Linked DNA regions of Nothobranchius furzeri. The main gene of each other region encodes a partner of the protein of the gene in region 2 in a complex. Links are inferred from orthologs where the notes say so. Each region holds a gene or a part of one and is shown on either strand. Other genes may lie near its edges.

Region 1 (4,069 bases), on a different chromosome or scaffold from region 2:
TGGTAGATTTTGGCAGCCTCGGAGGCAGGGAGCATGGTGGTGGTCGCGCTGGGAGCCCCGGGGACCATTTCCTCTGGTCTGTGTGGGGAGGATGCGGATCAAAGTGGCACCTGCCTCATCTGGTAATCAGCAGAACTTCCTCTGGTTCGGTTGTGTTTTCTTTCCTTACACTCGTGTCCACAGCATCAGCTGCACTGTATAGAGGCAAGGCCGGGTCCTGATTTCTGTTCTGGAGCTCCGATTTTCATTCATCAGCCTGCAGAATCGAAACGTGGCTCTGGGAAAATACGAGCGCCGGTAATCCATTTGCAGATTCATTCTCCATTTGCGCGCATATGTAGTGGAATGCAGTCCGCTTCTTATCAGGGGATGTGTGAGATCTCCCTGCACGGATCCGTCTGAGGAGCACAACCGCAGATGTCCGTGTATAGTACAGGGCCAACCCACATCCCTTAATCCCATTCTGACGTTGCTCGCGCGAAATTTCAAACACAAAGATTTAAAATGAAAAATGTACAGAAAATATGGTAACATGACTTCAGTGGCAATGAATTAGAGATTTTGCATGACTAAAAATTACTTATTTTTACTACTAAAACGAACAAAGATAAAAACACAAAGCGATCAGTGATCATTATGATTTTTCGGAATGTTTTCATTTTTAATCATCAAATCTTAATTCATGCAAATTAGTAATTTTACCAAATGAACTGATTTTTTTGCTATCTAGACTGACAAACAATCAAATATTTAAATTTAAGAACTAGACAGAGTTTGTTATTTCAACCAATATAAAACAGTGACGTATTAAAATGTTCGTTACAAAAGTAGTAGATTAAGTCAATGCTATTATTTCTGGATCATATTGTAGATAAATCCCTATATTACTAAAATACTAACCTAAAATCACCACATCAAATCCAAAATATGCTATTTAAATTGTGTTTAACCTTTAAACTACATTTCCCAGAGTTCTGAGCTCTATTTTCATTGGGTAACAGAGGATCACGTTTCTACGCAATTCGAAGGCGCGCGAGAAAATGCAGCTAACGTTTTATCCAGTTCTCTTAAGAGAAAATGCATTTTCTCATCATTTAAAGTTGCTTACTTGGTTTCTTTCAGGGTGTTAGTTTACCCCCAACTTGTTCTATCGGTACTTTCCCGACGTTAATTCTCTTTTTGGCACTTTTTCCTCCCAAATTACCGCCTGTGTTCGTCTTTTCCGCCTCGTGTCGGTGGACTTTCAGTTACAAAAAGCCGAGTTTTATGCTAACTGTCACGGTTTTAGACAGATTATTCTAAGCCTCGTGACGATTAAACCGTGCGGGCATATTTGGGAGTTGGACGGTAAGGATGACGGGGCTGTTACAGCAACCAGGATACGACGAAGAAAGGCTAAAAAGAGTCTCAGAGCTGCTGCCTTGTAGAGAAGTCCAGGCTGGGATGCTGCTGTCTCTCATGGGACAGGTAGGAACTATAATGGTGGTTTAAAAGAATCGTTGGCTTGGTCTCCATTCTCACTGTCAGCGTTTGATTGTGTTTTCTCTGTCAGGTAAACTGGAGTTTCACGTCTGTAAACCTTTGTTTCGCAGGCACATTACAGCTTGCCGAAGATGCTCATCAAATCTTTTTGTGTTAGTGCAATGCAAGTTGTATAATCTTGATGGTGTCATTTGGCTGTTTGAGCACAACGGGCTGTCCTCAGTAGAGCTTTTTCAATTTATTGCATGATTTTTCTTTGCAGTACATATTTACACATTTTTATAATATAAGTTTGCTTGAGAAAATACAATGGTACCCAGAAACCTTCATATGTTTACAGACATCTAAACCTAAATAAAAGCTGCATCAAGATGACATAATTCCCTAATGTAAATTATGTTTGGGCAACTGCAGCAAAATATATTTTGGTGTAATTCTAAAGTTATACGAGAATCTAAAAAAATATCTAAAAAATATGAAGCTGTGGGATAATCAAGAGCCAGCAGTAGCTTATTTTTTTTTTTTTTTTTTTGTGACAAAGCTATTGTTACAAGCTTCTAATGTTGTGAGTAGATGATGACATTTTAATCCTTGGGAAATTTATACATTAAAATGCAAAAAAATATTGATACAAAAATGCTATTTTTATGCTCTTCCAGCCACAGCAGTACTGCTACCCTTCAGTCTTCATCTATGGCCATCGGTCCTCAGGAAAAAGTCACGTGACAAATATTTTGATGGAAGAGTTGGAGGTGAGAGATACTTATTGTCTATGGGTGCCTTTCCAAAAAAAAATTCATTAAATGGCAAATTTCTATGCTTGTCCCTCATTTCAGAAATTGATACCCATTTATTTATTACACAGACTAAAATAGTTTATTCCTTGTAATTAGGAATATTAAAGGTTACAGATAAGAAAAACCCCAAATTCATGCTCCATAAAATAAGAACATTATGAAGGGGTGAAGGTGGCTTAGGGGTTAGGAGTTCACTCTGTAACTGGTGGTTTACTGGTTCAATCCCAGGCTGTGTTGAGTTGGCCATTGTGTCAGACTGTCAGTGGTTGGAGGGACCTGTGGCACCTGTGTAAGGGAGCCTCGCCTCCGTCAAAATGCCCCAGTTTAGCTGTGGTTACAGTGTAGCTCATCAGTGTGTGAATGACTGTAGGTTGAAGCACTTTGGAGTCCTCTAACTCAGAAAGGCGCTAATAAACAAATGCAGGCCATTCATCACTTTGACATGATCTGTATTACATCATCATGAGAATGACAAGAAATAACCGCTTGAAATAGTTTATTTTACATTTAACAAGTCTATTAGCTTTACTTCATGAAATGTGGGCTGATTATAAAATCCAGAGTTTGAGCACAATAAGTCGCCTTTCTGGAAAAAAAAGATGGTTGAAGGACAAGTGATGAACATGTGGGCTTGTTTTATTTCAGAGTTGGATCCTTACTCTTTCAGCTTGTGTAAACCTTTAAACAGACCACTGCAGAGTACTATTACAATAACAAAATATCTAGAAGCAAACAAAGCCTTTTAAATCGTGTAGAATATTAAAATTTGTAGTTTATGGATGGCTACTTTCTTGCCAGTGGTTTTTATATGGGTTTTATTATAAAGAACTCAAAGTAGTTTGTGTTTCTTCTACAAACGTTCACATAAAAGTGGTGGCTACAAAAAGTGTACATCAGGGCCTTCTTTTGTCCAGAAAAGACCCGAATCACAAATACATTCATTCAAGGTTTTTATATAAAGGCCCCAGCATACTTTTTATTTATTTAATTTGTATTTCTTTCATCAAATGTTAGAATAAAATAGACTTTATTAATCACACAGTGGGGAAATTTATTACTTTTTAAATCGGATTAAAAATTAACACAGAGTGGAGTTTTTATGTTCACCCATCTTATGACTTTTTGACCTTCACCATTGCTCCTTCTCCTCCTCAGCTTCCTCACGCCACGGTCAGCTGCGTCGAATGTGTGTCTGTTGCGTTGCTGTTTGAACAAGTGCTACTGTCCTTCTTTGGCTGCGATGCTGCCTCGCTGCTCCCTCGTAGTCCCTCCTTGTCTGACTTTGTGCGGATCTACAGGCAACAATCCTCCCAGTTTCCTGCTGAGCAGACGCGATACATCGTGAGTGACACATCTGTGTTATTTATGATGCCATCTGTTGTAATGCAAGTGGTAAACAAAGCTCCAGATGTATTGACCTGACGTTTCTGTGCCAGAAACAGTGTTAATTTGATGTAGAATTTGGACTGAAAGTGTTTTTCATTTAAACACCTTTTATTTAGTGAGTGTAAATGTTGTAAACCGAAAGTAAACACGTGGATATGTTTCAGATTATGGAGAAGCCTGAACTTCTAAGAGACGCCGATGCCAATCTTCTTCCTGCCCTCCTTCGTCTTCAGGAACTGGTGAGAAAACACAGCTCGCTCTTTGTGGTGTTTATCACCCAAAACGCTTTGTTGTTGATAAACTGCGCCGATGATGAAGAGTTTTATTAGTGAGGAAATGTCCTTGAGCTGCTGTTTGTAGAGAGCTCTTTCATAATGCTGTTAGGAAGGAAAGATGGCAACCAC
Region 2 (4,091 bases):
GTTTATTATCTTCCTGCATCTCCTCTCAGTCCTAAAGAAAAACTGCTACCTGGGTTCATATATATTCACCTTATGAGTTACCTTTGAACTGCAGTTCTAAAAGATCTACCGACCGCAAAAACAGCGGAGTGCCGCTGCTCGCCGGCCGACTACAACGGGACCGTTTTTGCTGCGGAGTTCGTGCCGGAGCGGAGATAGTGGAATCTTGGGGGTGCGTCACCGGAGGACAAAACAGGTGAAGAGCCTCGCTCCGCAGCAGCGAAACGCATCAGGCACAAATAACAGACAGAAAACATGAAAGGAAATGAGCCGACATGAACGATCGCGTGTTTAGTTAGTTTTTGAGGTGGTGACACCTGATTTGGCGGTGCTCTGGACGCAGATGTCTGGAGCGCGTCAACGATCAGAGCTTTGCATGCGCAAACTGGTTAAGATTAGGATGGGGGTGAGGGGAAGGTTAAATTGCAAGAGGGTAAAGGTCACAGTTTGGTTAAATGTCCGTTTTACCGCCGGTGTCAGTACCGACGCTCTGGCACAGCGCGTCGCCTCCGCCTCCCGACGCAGGGGCTCATCACCTGCTGGAGGACTGCATCTTGTCAGTCATTATCACGTGACAGCGACTAGTCGATGACAGGCATAAAAAGTCACTACAGAGCCGTGAAGTCGACTAGTTCATACAACCCCTAGGGAGACGTTTTAGTAGAACAGAGTCAAACCGTAGGAAAGGGCACGCCGCCACACTCACTGCAGCTGTAACATCCATTTGTTAAAGTGCTTCCTGTGTTTGTCGTGCAGCTGCTGGATCTCTTTTGAGTAGCAAGACGGTTTATCTTCTAAAAGACGATCCAACGTCTCCTGTCCAAAAAGTAAAAGAGGTGGAGTTTAGCCAAAGGTTTATTATAATGGACTAACATGTAACTTTTAATTCACACACCCGGTCAAACTTAGGGGTGTGCAAACGCTGGAGGGTCCGGTCCGACGTCAGGACCTTTGAGCTGCCATGAGCCTCAAAATACTCCTCGGTCATGGTGGGCTGATTCAGAGGCTCGGCTGTGTTCTTGCTCCTCTTGGCAGGAGTCTTGTAGAGAGCTGCAGAAAGCCCTTTACTAGGGGTTCTCGTCTTTTTCACATTCTCCTTGTCCTCTTGCTTCCCTCTCTGCTCTTCTTTGAGCTCGTCCTCCTCAGAGTCAGAGGGGGAGAGTTCACTGTCGCTGTCAGACCGAAGAGTTGGTGCTGAAAATAAGCCCCACCACACCCAGATTACACCAGCGTTACTAAACGAACACAACTACAACAGGCCAGGCGTACCTGTAAGTCTCTTCCTGAGTCTGTGAGGGGTGGTGGAGACAAACCGGACACTCTTTTTCTGTTTCAGGAGAAACAAAACTAAATTAAAACAAACTAAATCCTTCACTGGATAAAGTGAAATGTATTAGCTCTCTCACCCTCTGTGGTGTCCTGTTTTCACCTGCGTGGCCTAGACAGACAAAAGTAAACCTGATCATTTCATAATGAGAGCACAGGCGGACGGGGAGTGGGTTCGCTCGACTCACTGCTGCCTGTCCGAGAGGGAGTGGTGGGTTCCGAGTTTGTGTCCCTGGTGAAGCTCACGCTTTTTCCCGGGGTCCGAGCCAGTTCGCTCGCTACGAAGGGAAACAACAAAACAACGGTTTAATAAATGCAGCTGAAGATGAACGTTGAGCCTTCGTTCGAGAGGTAATCGGAGATTCACCAGTTTGGGCCAAGCTGTGACTTCGTTTGACTTTCTGGAAGGTGAAGATGGAGGAACCAGCAACTCTAGAAGGATTATCGTCTACTTCTGTGAAGCCAAAGAACATATTAGTGGCATTAAGAGACATTTAGGTTCATGTTATGGCTTTATTAGGTAATGTCAAAATACTAAACTCGATGATCTACAGTGGCACCGAGAAGACAGGAGGCAGGGCAGGTGAAAATGTTGAGATTGTCTTCAGGAGTGACAGGATCAGGATTAGAGGGACTGCGTTAGATGATTTGAAATAAGATCAGGCTAAGATGGTTTGGACATGGAGGAATCTGCAGAAGGATGCTCAGGCTGGAACAGCCAGGCAGGAGTCGTGGAGGAAAGCCAAAGAGCAGATTTATGGATGGAAGAGTGGAGGATGAGGGTGAAAATGCAGCAGGACAAAACCAGAACCAAGGAAGGGATACCTTCATCGTTTTCAGTTCCTAAAGCTCGGACATAACCCAGCTCATCATGGACTCCGTTTTCATCTCCATCACACCGAGTCTCCTCCAGGCATTCCCTCTGTCCAGCCGGGCTCTTAAACTTCACCATCCTCAGCCCAGAGCCAGCACTGCTCTGCAATACTAGTCACAACACACACACACACACACACGCGCGCGCGCGCGCGCACACACACACACGCACACATAAAACGAGAGCGAATGGGCAAAAAACAAAACAGCAGAGATAAACCAGCTCATACCCTCCTGTTTGTCCACGATGTGCTCCAAAACATCCCCATCCCCAACGAACTTCACCTCCAACACGCTCATTTCTACCAATAAACACAAAACACACGATACAAGCCTGAAGCCACGCAGCAAAACACACAATTAGCCCTGCTACTAGAGTCGGTTTGAACTCTCGCGCTAAAGCTGAGGAAAGTGAGCGCAAAAGGTCGAGACTTACTCAAACGGGCGGAAAAAGTCCGCAAAACAATATAAAATTTAAAACATAAACAAAACTTTAAAGTCGGAAAGTTTAATTGAGAAGCGATGTGACAAGTTTCCGCGCCATTCTGAACATTTTAAATCACGTGACTGAGTGGAAAGGTCATAAAGTGGCCAATCAAAACGCTAGTAGCAGTAAAACTACGTTTCCCAAGAATCCTTTCAACAAGTCCGCCTGTCACAAGTCCACAGACAAATAATATTCAAGTCAGGTATTCTTACTCTAATTCACAGCAGTAGAAAAAACTTTGTACAGGTAAGATCAAATGTAATGGACACAATATGACACGCTTAAGCACAGAAAAGAAGAAGTAGTGAAAATAATGAAAATAGAACTGTGAAAATAAAGTTTAACGTTGTAAAGAAAAGAAAGAAAGAGAACGATCTTTTCTCTCAAGTTAAAAATCACGAGGCGCTTCACAAAACCAAAAAATTCAAGTATAAAAAGATTTAAAAAATGATTACAAATATGTTTAAAAATAATATATGAATTATAAAAATAATAAATTAGGATTAAACCAAATCCTAAATACAAGGATTGACTGGATACTGATTAAAATACTTTAATGATTCAGGTTGATATCTGATCTGACATTAGTTAATGTCCATATTTCAAGTTACATTCAGTTTGTGGTCATTTTCAATAAGAATCACATTTCTTGGTAATCTGTAAAGGGCATTTTATTGCCATGTTTATTTTTTTCATTCAGTTTCAATTTCAAGTAGTCTTGAGAATCAGTGTGTGTCACGTTTGATGCTGTGATTATTGTTTATTTAGTATTCATTCAACTCCACAATCCGGTTAAAGATTCACTAAAGAAAGGGGATTTAGATGTCTTGCTATTAGTTAAGTCTTTTCGTTCTAGCGGCCTCAAATATTATTCTGAAATCTGTCTACGTGTGTGTGTGTGTTAGTGAGCACTTTCCCTCTACCAAGATGATCCATCCCACCGCATGTAGAAAAAGTTTCAGAGGTTTCAGTTCAGCTCATGAAAAATGGGAGCAAAAACAAAAGTGTTGCGTCTATATTTATACTGACAAATTTGTTCGTGAGAATCCAGATTTAGAAAACTATTTAACACTTTGGATTCACTTTTGCTCATTGAAACAGTTTATTTTTTCACCTTTCACTACAAAAATTTAGTTGATACAGTTTTACACAAGACAATATCTGCACTTTTTTGACAAGAACATCTTCAATTCTGTATGAATACAATCCACCATGTATAAAATCTCCTTTATGTGGATCTAAATTCCTCCTTTAATCTTCTGGATGTTATTCATTTTTATGTCTTCCTCGGAGATCTCATGGGGCGAGGCAGGGAAATACACTCGCTCATAAGTTTGGGTTTGTTCTGGTTGATAATTCCTATTAT
Region 3 (4,352 bases), on a different chromosome or scaffold from region 2:
TTCATCAGTACCAGAGGAGCCTGACAGAGGCTGGAAAGCGCAGGCCCACAGCTGCGTGGAGAAGTCCCCGGAGCTGTCCTGTTTACTGTGACACTGGAGCACGTGGAGAGGCTTCAGATGCACCGGCTGCTGGAGGATCACACACAAGAGACGGATGAGAACGAACACAAACCCCTGTGGGTTGTTGTCTGACAAGATTGTGTCTTGTACGGAATAAACGACGACACTGGAATGTTTTTGTGGTTCTACAGCATCTAAAGGAGTCATCTGTGTGTTTCTTTACCTGACTCTTAGTACAAATCTTTATTATAGGCAGAGTGTACTGACTCCTGTGCAGCTGTTTGGTTTTGCTGACTTCTTTTTTCTGTTCAACCCGAACTTCTTCCTCTTCGAGTTGCTGTGATTTAGACCTCTTCCTGGGCGTCTCTGTCCTCGCCTGTCCTCTGGTGGGAGTGGAGACAGCCCCGTCTGTCCGGAGAGAGACCCTGCGGGACTTGCGAGGGCTGTCTTCAGCAGCTGAAGATTCTAGAGCGTTGACTCTCAACTTCTTGTGAGGCGTCAAAATTACTTTATCATCTGTCACCAGTTTGGTTCGTTTCCTCTTGGAAGGCGAGGAAATTATCTGAGAAAAGGAAGATAGAGTAAAATGTTTGACCCAGTTTGAACAGAAACAGCAAGAAGTTTTATTTAGAGACGCCATTTGTGCCAATGACAGTATTGTAACAGTGAAGTTTAAATAAAAGGTGCTGATTAGCAATCTTACACAGTTCTTTGTGGCCTCAGCAGACTCCTTGGGGATGAAGTCTTCTTTTGGTTGTGTCAGTGAGCGCAGATGCTCTTTAGCAAGAATCTCCACCTGAAAAATCAAAAGGAAGTAAAAACAAAACTGTTAAAAAGGGATGAAAATTAGCAAAAAAGTCCCAGAGATCCTTGTAAATTCAGGACTTGCCCTCCATTTGGTGAAATCGCTGACTGAACTGGGACCAAATTTGACTTGATGACGAGCAGCGTTCACAAAGTTCTTCTCCAGATCGGACATTTTGCCGGCCGTGATGGGATCTGGGAGACTGAAGCTCCGCTCCCAAACTGTGACTATCTGAAATCAAGCAGCAGCTGAGTGACCCAAGTGTGGGATATGATGAGAAAGTGCAGCAGCTGGGTCGTTTCCTTTTAAAATGCAACATTAGAGGTGTGATGCAATCGAGAGCCACAGCTTAACTCAAAGTCTAATGAATAATCATCATGAATGTTTTCAAACGAAAGTATTAAACGGTTTTCATACCCTGGTCCTCAGGTTGTCACTGAACACGTATCGTAAGTGGCTGGCAGTGGTGCTGACATCTTTGTTGTTGTAAATCCTCAGTTTGGGCAGCAACACCATCAGCTTGTAACTATCACTTATCTAAAAATAACAGAGTCAGGACTTGATCTCAGTTGTAAAAGAGAATTTTAAAGTTTGAGACAAAAATAAAGGAATATCTAACAAAAAGGAAAAGCTGCAGCGCTGCAGAGAACAAAAAGACGTGCTAATAAAACATCTAGACTTGTTGAAGTAGTTATCTGATGACAGCGTTAGAGGAAAACTTCCTTTTGGTTTGTTTTTTTCACCTCATGTGGATATTGTCGCGGTAAAATAGTCATGGGTGGAAAAACTGCATCACATGTAACAACCAGACTCCAAAAGATGCCACGGTAACGTTTTACGATTCTGTAAAGTTCTGAGATGAATTCAAAGACAGAAATTATACTTAAACCACTCATTTAAATAAGACCAATCGAATAGTTTGAATTTTAAAAAGGCAGCTCCGTCCTTTATGTTATAACAGAGACGGAACGGTACTGGATTACATGCGACAAAAACAGCCAAGTCCTCACTGTGATGTAAAAGTTGTCATCCATTTTTAGTTCCTCCAAGCTGCTCAGAGACTCTAAGGTGGTGACATCCTCCATCTGGTTGTTGGTGAGGTCCAGGTACCGAAGTGCAGGTAGCTTCAGGTTCTTTGGAAGCTCCTGCAGCCTGTTCCCGGATAGATCCCACCGCTCCAGGGACTGCAGGCGGGATAGCAGCTTCACAGGAAGATCCCCGTGCTTCAGCGCCATCTTAGACAGACTAAATAGAAGAAACCCGTCAAGTCAACATGGGGATTTTAGATCAAGCTTCATATCTGCAAGTAAAACTAATTTTACTATTAAATGCGATTAGTCATCAACTGATAAAAGAGTGACTTCACCAGAACACACAAATAGTTAATCAAGGGGGAAGACTTACTTCAGAGTTTTGATTTGCTCCAGTTTGTTGGTTTTTGGAGAACCTTTCTCCAGTAAAAGCTTCTCTGTTACATTCTCCATAGCTGATCTGCTGGAAAAGGACATCTAATGTGGAATCTATCAGCAAAATAACATGTTAAACTTTTATTCGCACTCACTGATTAAGTTGTATGGCCTGATAAGTTTAAATAATGTCTGTACTTAAAACGAGCTAAATATTTAGCATTTTTTCATTTAGTAAAGAGACGATGCCATTGCCAAGTGACATCTTTACTGAGAAAAATTTAATATAACCAAATCAACTTCATGCTTCAGCAAGGTAAAACTGAATCTGTTAGTTTGATTTCGATTGGTTTTACTTTAGCAGTAGCTAGCATAACCACGTTGACACGATCGATTAATCAACTCTTTGCTAGGTTAGTAGTTAGTAATATAACTGACTCTTTTTCTAGCCATAACAAATGAGCAAACACCTTTAATAATGTTTAATAAAGTATTTTTTATGTTACTTACCAACTCCTCTCTGCAACTTTTGTGTCTGCAACACAACTGACCTTTCCCGGGGAAACTCCGTCTACATCCGGTGGGCGTGGTTTACCTAAAACTTTGGCCACAGTTTACCCTGAACATTGGCTGTAAGACAAGTCAAACAAATACGACTTTCGATTATTATATTTCTTGTTTATCACATATATTACTAAGTATTGTCATATTTTGTTTTATTTGAAATTTTAATGCGCCAATAACAGTGCGGCAGAACGAAAATAGGGGTTAAAAGAAGTAATTTTACGCCTGCGGCTCCGTCCGCTAGATGGCAGTGGAGCTACGATTTCCAAGTAGAAGAAGATGCAACATGATGATGATGGTCTCTGACGACGGCGACGGGGTTATTCCATGCGCTTGTAAAGGCATCCGACGCTGTCTTGTCTGTGAAACGTTTAAGGCGAGTGTACTGCTTGAAACAAGAGAGTCAAAGGTACGTGTGTCGAACAAAAATCTCAGTTTTAATGTGCGATGTAACGTCTGTAAACCTTGGTACGGAAGCCCTCACTGGACAAATTGTGTTGTTTATCAAAAATCACTCTTGTTTGTTCTGACAATATTCTGGTACAATGTTGTAAATTTGATTTAAATAATGAGATACAACCCTGGTTTATTTAAATGTTGACGGCATGTATCTTTACTTATTGTGAAATGAAATTTTATAATTAAAACATGTCATCACAGCTTTTGTTTATTAATGTTATCTCTGTTTTTGGTATGAAGATTGTGCATCATTTCCTCTATAATGCCAAGACGGGGCTCGCTGTCAGCGAAGATGAAGAGGGCTCTTCCTTCCCTTTTTCTGGAGTCTTCCTGTGGGAGAACTTTATATCAGAGGAGGAGGAGAGGGAGCTGATTAGCGTAATGGACCAGGATGTGTGGCATCCCTCACAGTCTGGCCGAAGGAAACAGGTGGAAAACATTTAATGAAAATGTACTTTTTTGTGGGTTACATATTTTTAACATTCAAATTTTTCATTTTACACGGTTGCAGGACTTTGGCCCTAAAGTAAACTTCAAGAAGAGAAAAGTGCGCATCGCAGACTTTACTGGACTTCCTGCTTTAAGCCAAAAACTGGTGCTGCGGATGCAGCAAGATGCAAATCTTGCGGGCTTTCAACCAGTGGAGCAGTGCAATCTGGATTACGCTCCGGAGAGAGGCTCAGCCATTGATCCGCACCTGGATGACTCCTGGTTGTGGGGGGAGCGGCTGGTCACCATCAACATGTTATCAGAAACTGTGCTCACCATGTCTCTTGAGCAGGGTCTGCCAGAGTTGGGACTTTCAGAGGAAGTCCAGGTTGCTGTACGACTTCCTCGCAGGTGTTTAGTTGTGTTATACGGCGAGGCGAGGCATAGGTGGAAACATGCAATTCATAGGAAGGATATTCATGAACGCAGGGTCTGCAGCACATACAGAGAGCTGTCTGCAGAGTTCCTCCTTGGAGGGAAGCAGGCGAAGCTGGGAGCTGAACTGTTGACTACTGCTTTAAGCTTCGGAGGAACTCCAATATAAACAGAGGCAGAAAAAGCTGGACAAA

What was found. Proteins that work in one complex are often made in the same cells at the same time.
Region 1: the proteins of orc2 (region 2) and orc5 are in contact, whole or in part, in a cryo-EM structure (PDB 7JPO), measured with the Homo sapiens proteins. The link is inferred for Nothobranchius furzeri from reciprocal best matches to the Homo sapiens genes ORC2 and ORC5. Residues at the interface, in NP_006181.1 of Homo sapiens: Val240, Glu241, Tyr243, Phe244, Glu245, Ser248, Asp396, Gln398, Arg401, Gly402, Glu403, His426, Asn428, Ala429, Pro430, Leu431, Met432, Trp433, Asp434, His435, Gln438, Trp445; in NP_002544.1 of Homo sapiens: Asp324, Lys325, Phe328, Leu329, Leu359, Asp360, Arg361, Ala364, Tyr367, Ser368, Ala378, Asn379, Phe381, Ser382, Gln383, Thr385, Ser386, Thr389, Asp400, Gln401, Leu402, Asp403, Tyr407.
Region 3: the proteins of orc2 (region 2) and lrwd1 are in contact, whole or in part, in a crystal structure (PDB 8SIU), measured with the Rattus norvegicus proteins. The link is inferred for Nothobranchius furzeri from reciprocal best matches to the Homo sapiens genes ORC2 and LRWD1. Residues at the interface, in NP_001012003.1 of Rattus norvegicus: Val11, Pro12, Ser13, Val14, Gln15, Phe16, Val17, Gly18, Asp19, Val22, Leu23, Ser24, His25, Ile26, Leu27, Asp28; in XP_038945348.1 of Rattus norvegicus: Pro262, Leu263, His264, Phe265, Leu266, Gln267, Cys268, Ser270, Asn273, Ser274, Pro275, Leu320, Val321, Leu322, His323, Lys324, Tyr325, Lys326, Leu367, Val369, Gly372, Phe373, Cys374, Pro596, Pro598, Val599, Ala600, Val605, Ile630.

Annotation. Positions count from the first base shown.
Region 1 is NC_091741.1:42,936,181-42,940,249, forward strand, and holds the start of orc5 (origin recognition complex subunit 5), read left to right. Parts: upstream 1-1,216; 5' UTR 1,217-1,353; coding exon 1,354-1,467; intron 1,468-2,141; coding exon 2,142-2,234; intron 2,235-3,434; coding exon 3,435-3,620; intron 3,621-3,829; coding exon 3,830-3,904; intron 3,905-4,069. Other genes in the region: lhfpl3 (LHFPL tetraspan subfamily member 3 protein), read right to left, coding at 1-68. UniProt on the Homo sapiens protein: Component of the origin recognition complex (ORC) that binds origins of replication. DNA-binding is ATP-dependent. The specific DNA sequences that define origins of replication have not been identified yet.
Region 2 is NC_091751.1:63,947,958-63,952,048, reverse strand, and holds the start of orc2 (origin recognition complex subunit 2), read right to left. Parts: upstream 2,812-4,091; 5' UTR 2,675-2,811; exon of another isoform or gene 2,541-2,674; 5' UTR 2,539-2,540; coding exon 2,469-2,538; intron 2,350-2,468; coding exon 2,191-2,349; intron 1,820-2,190; coding exon 1,733-1,819; intron 1,644-1,732; coding exon 1,554-1,643; intron 1,478-1,553; coding exon 1,446-1,477; intron 1,367-1,445; coding exon 1,309-1,366; intron 1,234-1,308; coding exon 935-1,233; intron 856-934; coding exon 746-855; intron 1-745. UniProt on the Homo sapiens protein: Component of the origin recognition complex (ORC) that binds origins of replication. DNA-binding is ATP-dependent. The specific DNA sequences that define origins of replication have not been identified yet.
Region 3 is NC_091750.1:30,550,545-30,554,896, forward strand, and holds the start of lrwd1 (leucine-rich repeat and WD repeat-containing protein 1), read right to left. Parts: upstream 2,854-4,352; 5' UTR 2,782-2,853; intron 2,386-2,781; 5' UTR 2,374-2,385; coding exon 2,270-2,373; intron 2,111-2,269; coding exon 1,876-2,110; intron 1,403-1,875; coding exon 1,283-1,402; intron 1,097-1,282; coding exon 950-1,096; intron 857-949; coding exon 764-856; intron 623-763; coding exon 284-622; intron 130-283; coding exon 12-129; intron 1-11. Other genes in the region: alkbh4 (alpha-ketoglutarate-dependent dioxygenase alkB homolog 4), read left to right, coding at 3,080-3,244, 3,535-3,723, 3,806-4,327. UniProt on the Homo sapiens protein: Required for G1/S transition. Recruits and stabilizes the origin recognition complex (ORC) onto chromatin during G1 to establish pre-replication complex (preRC) and to heterochromatic sites in post-replicated cells.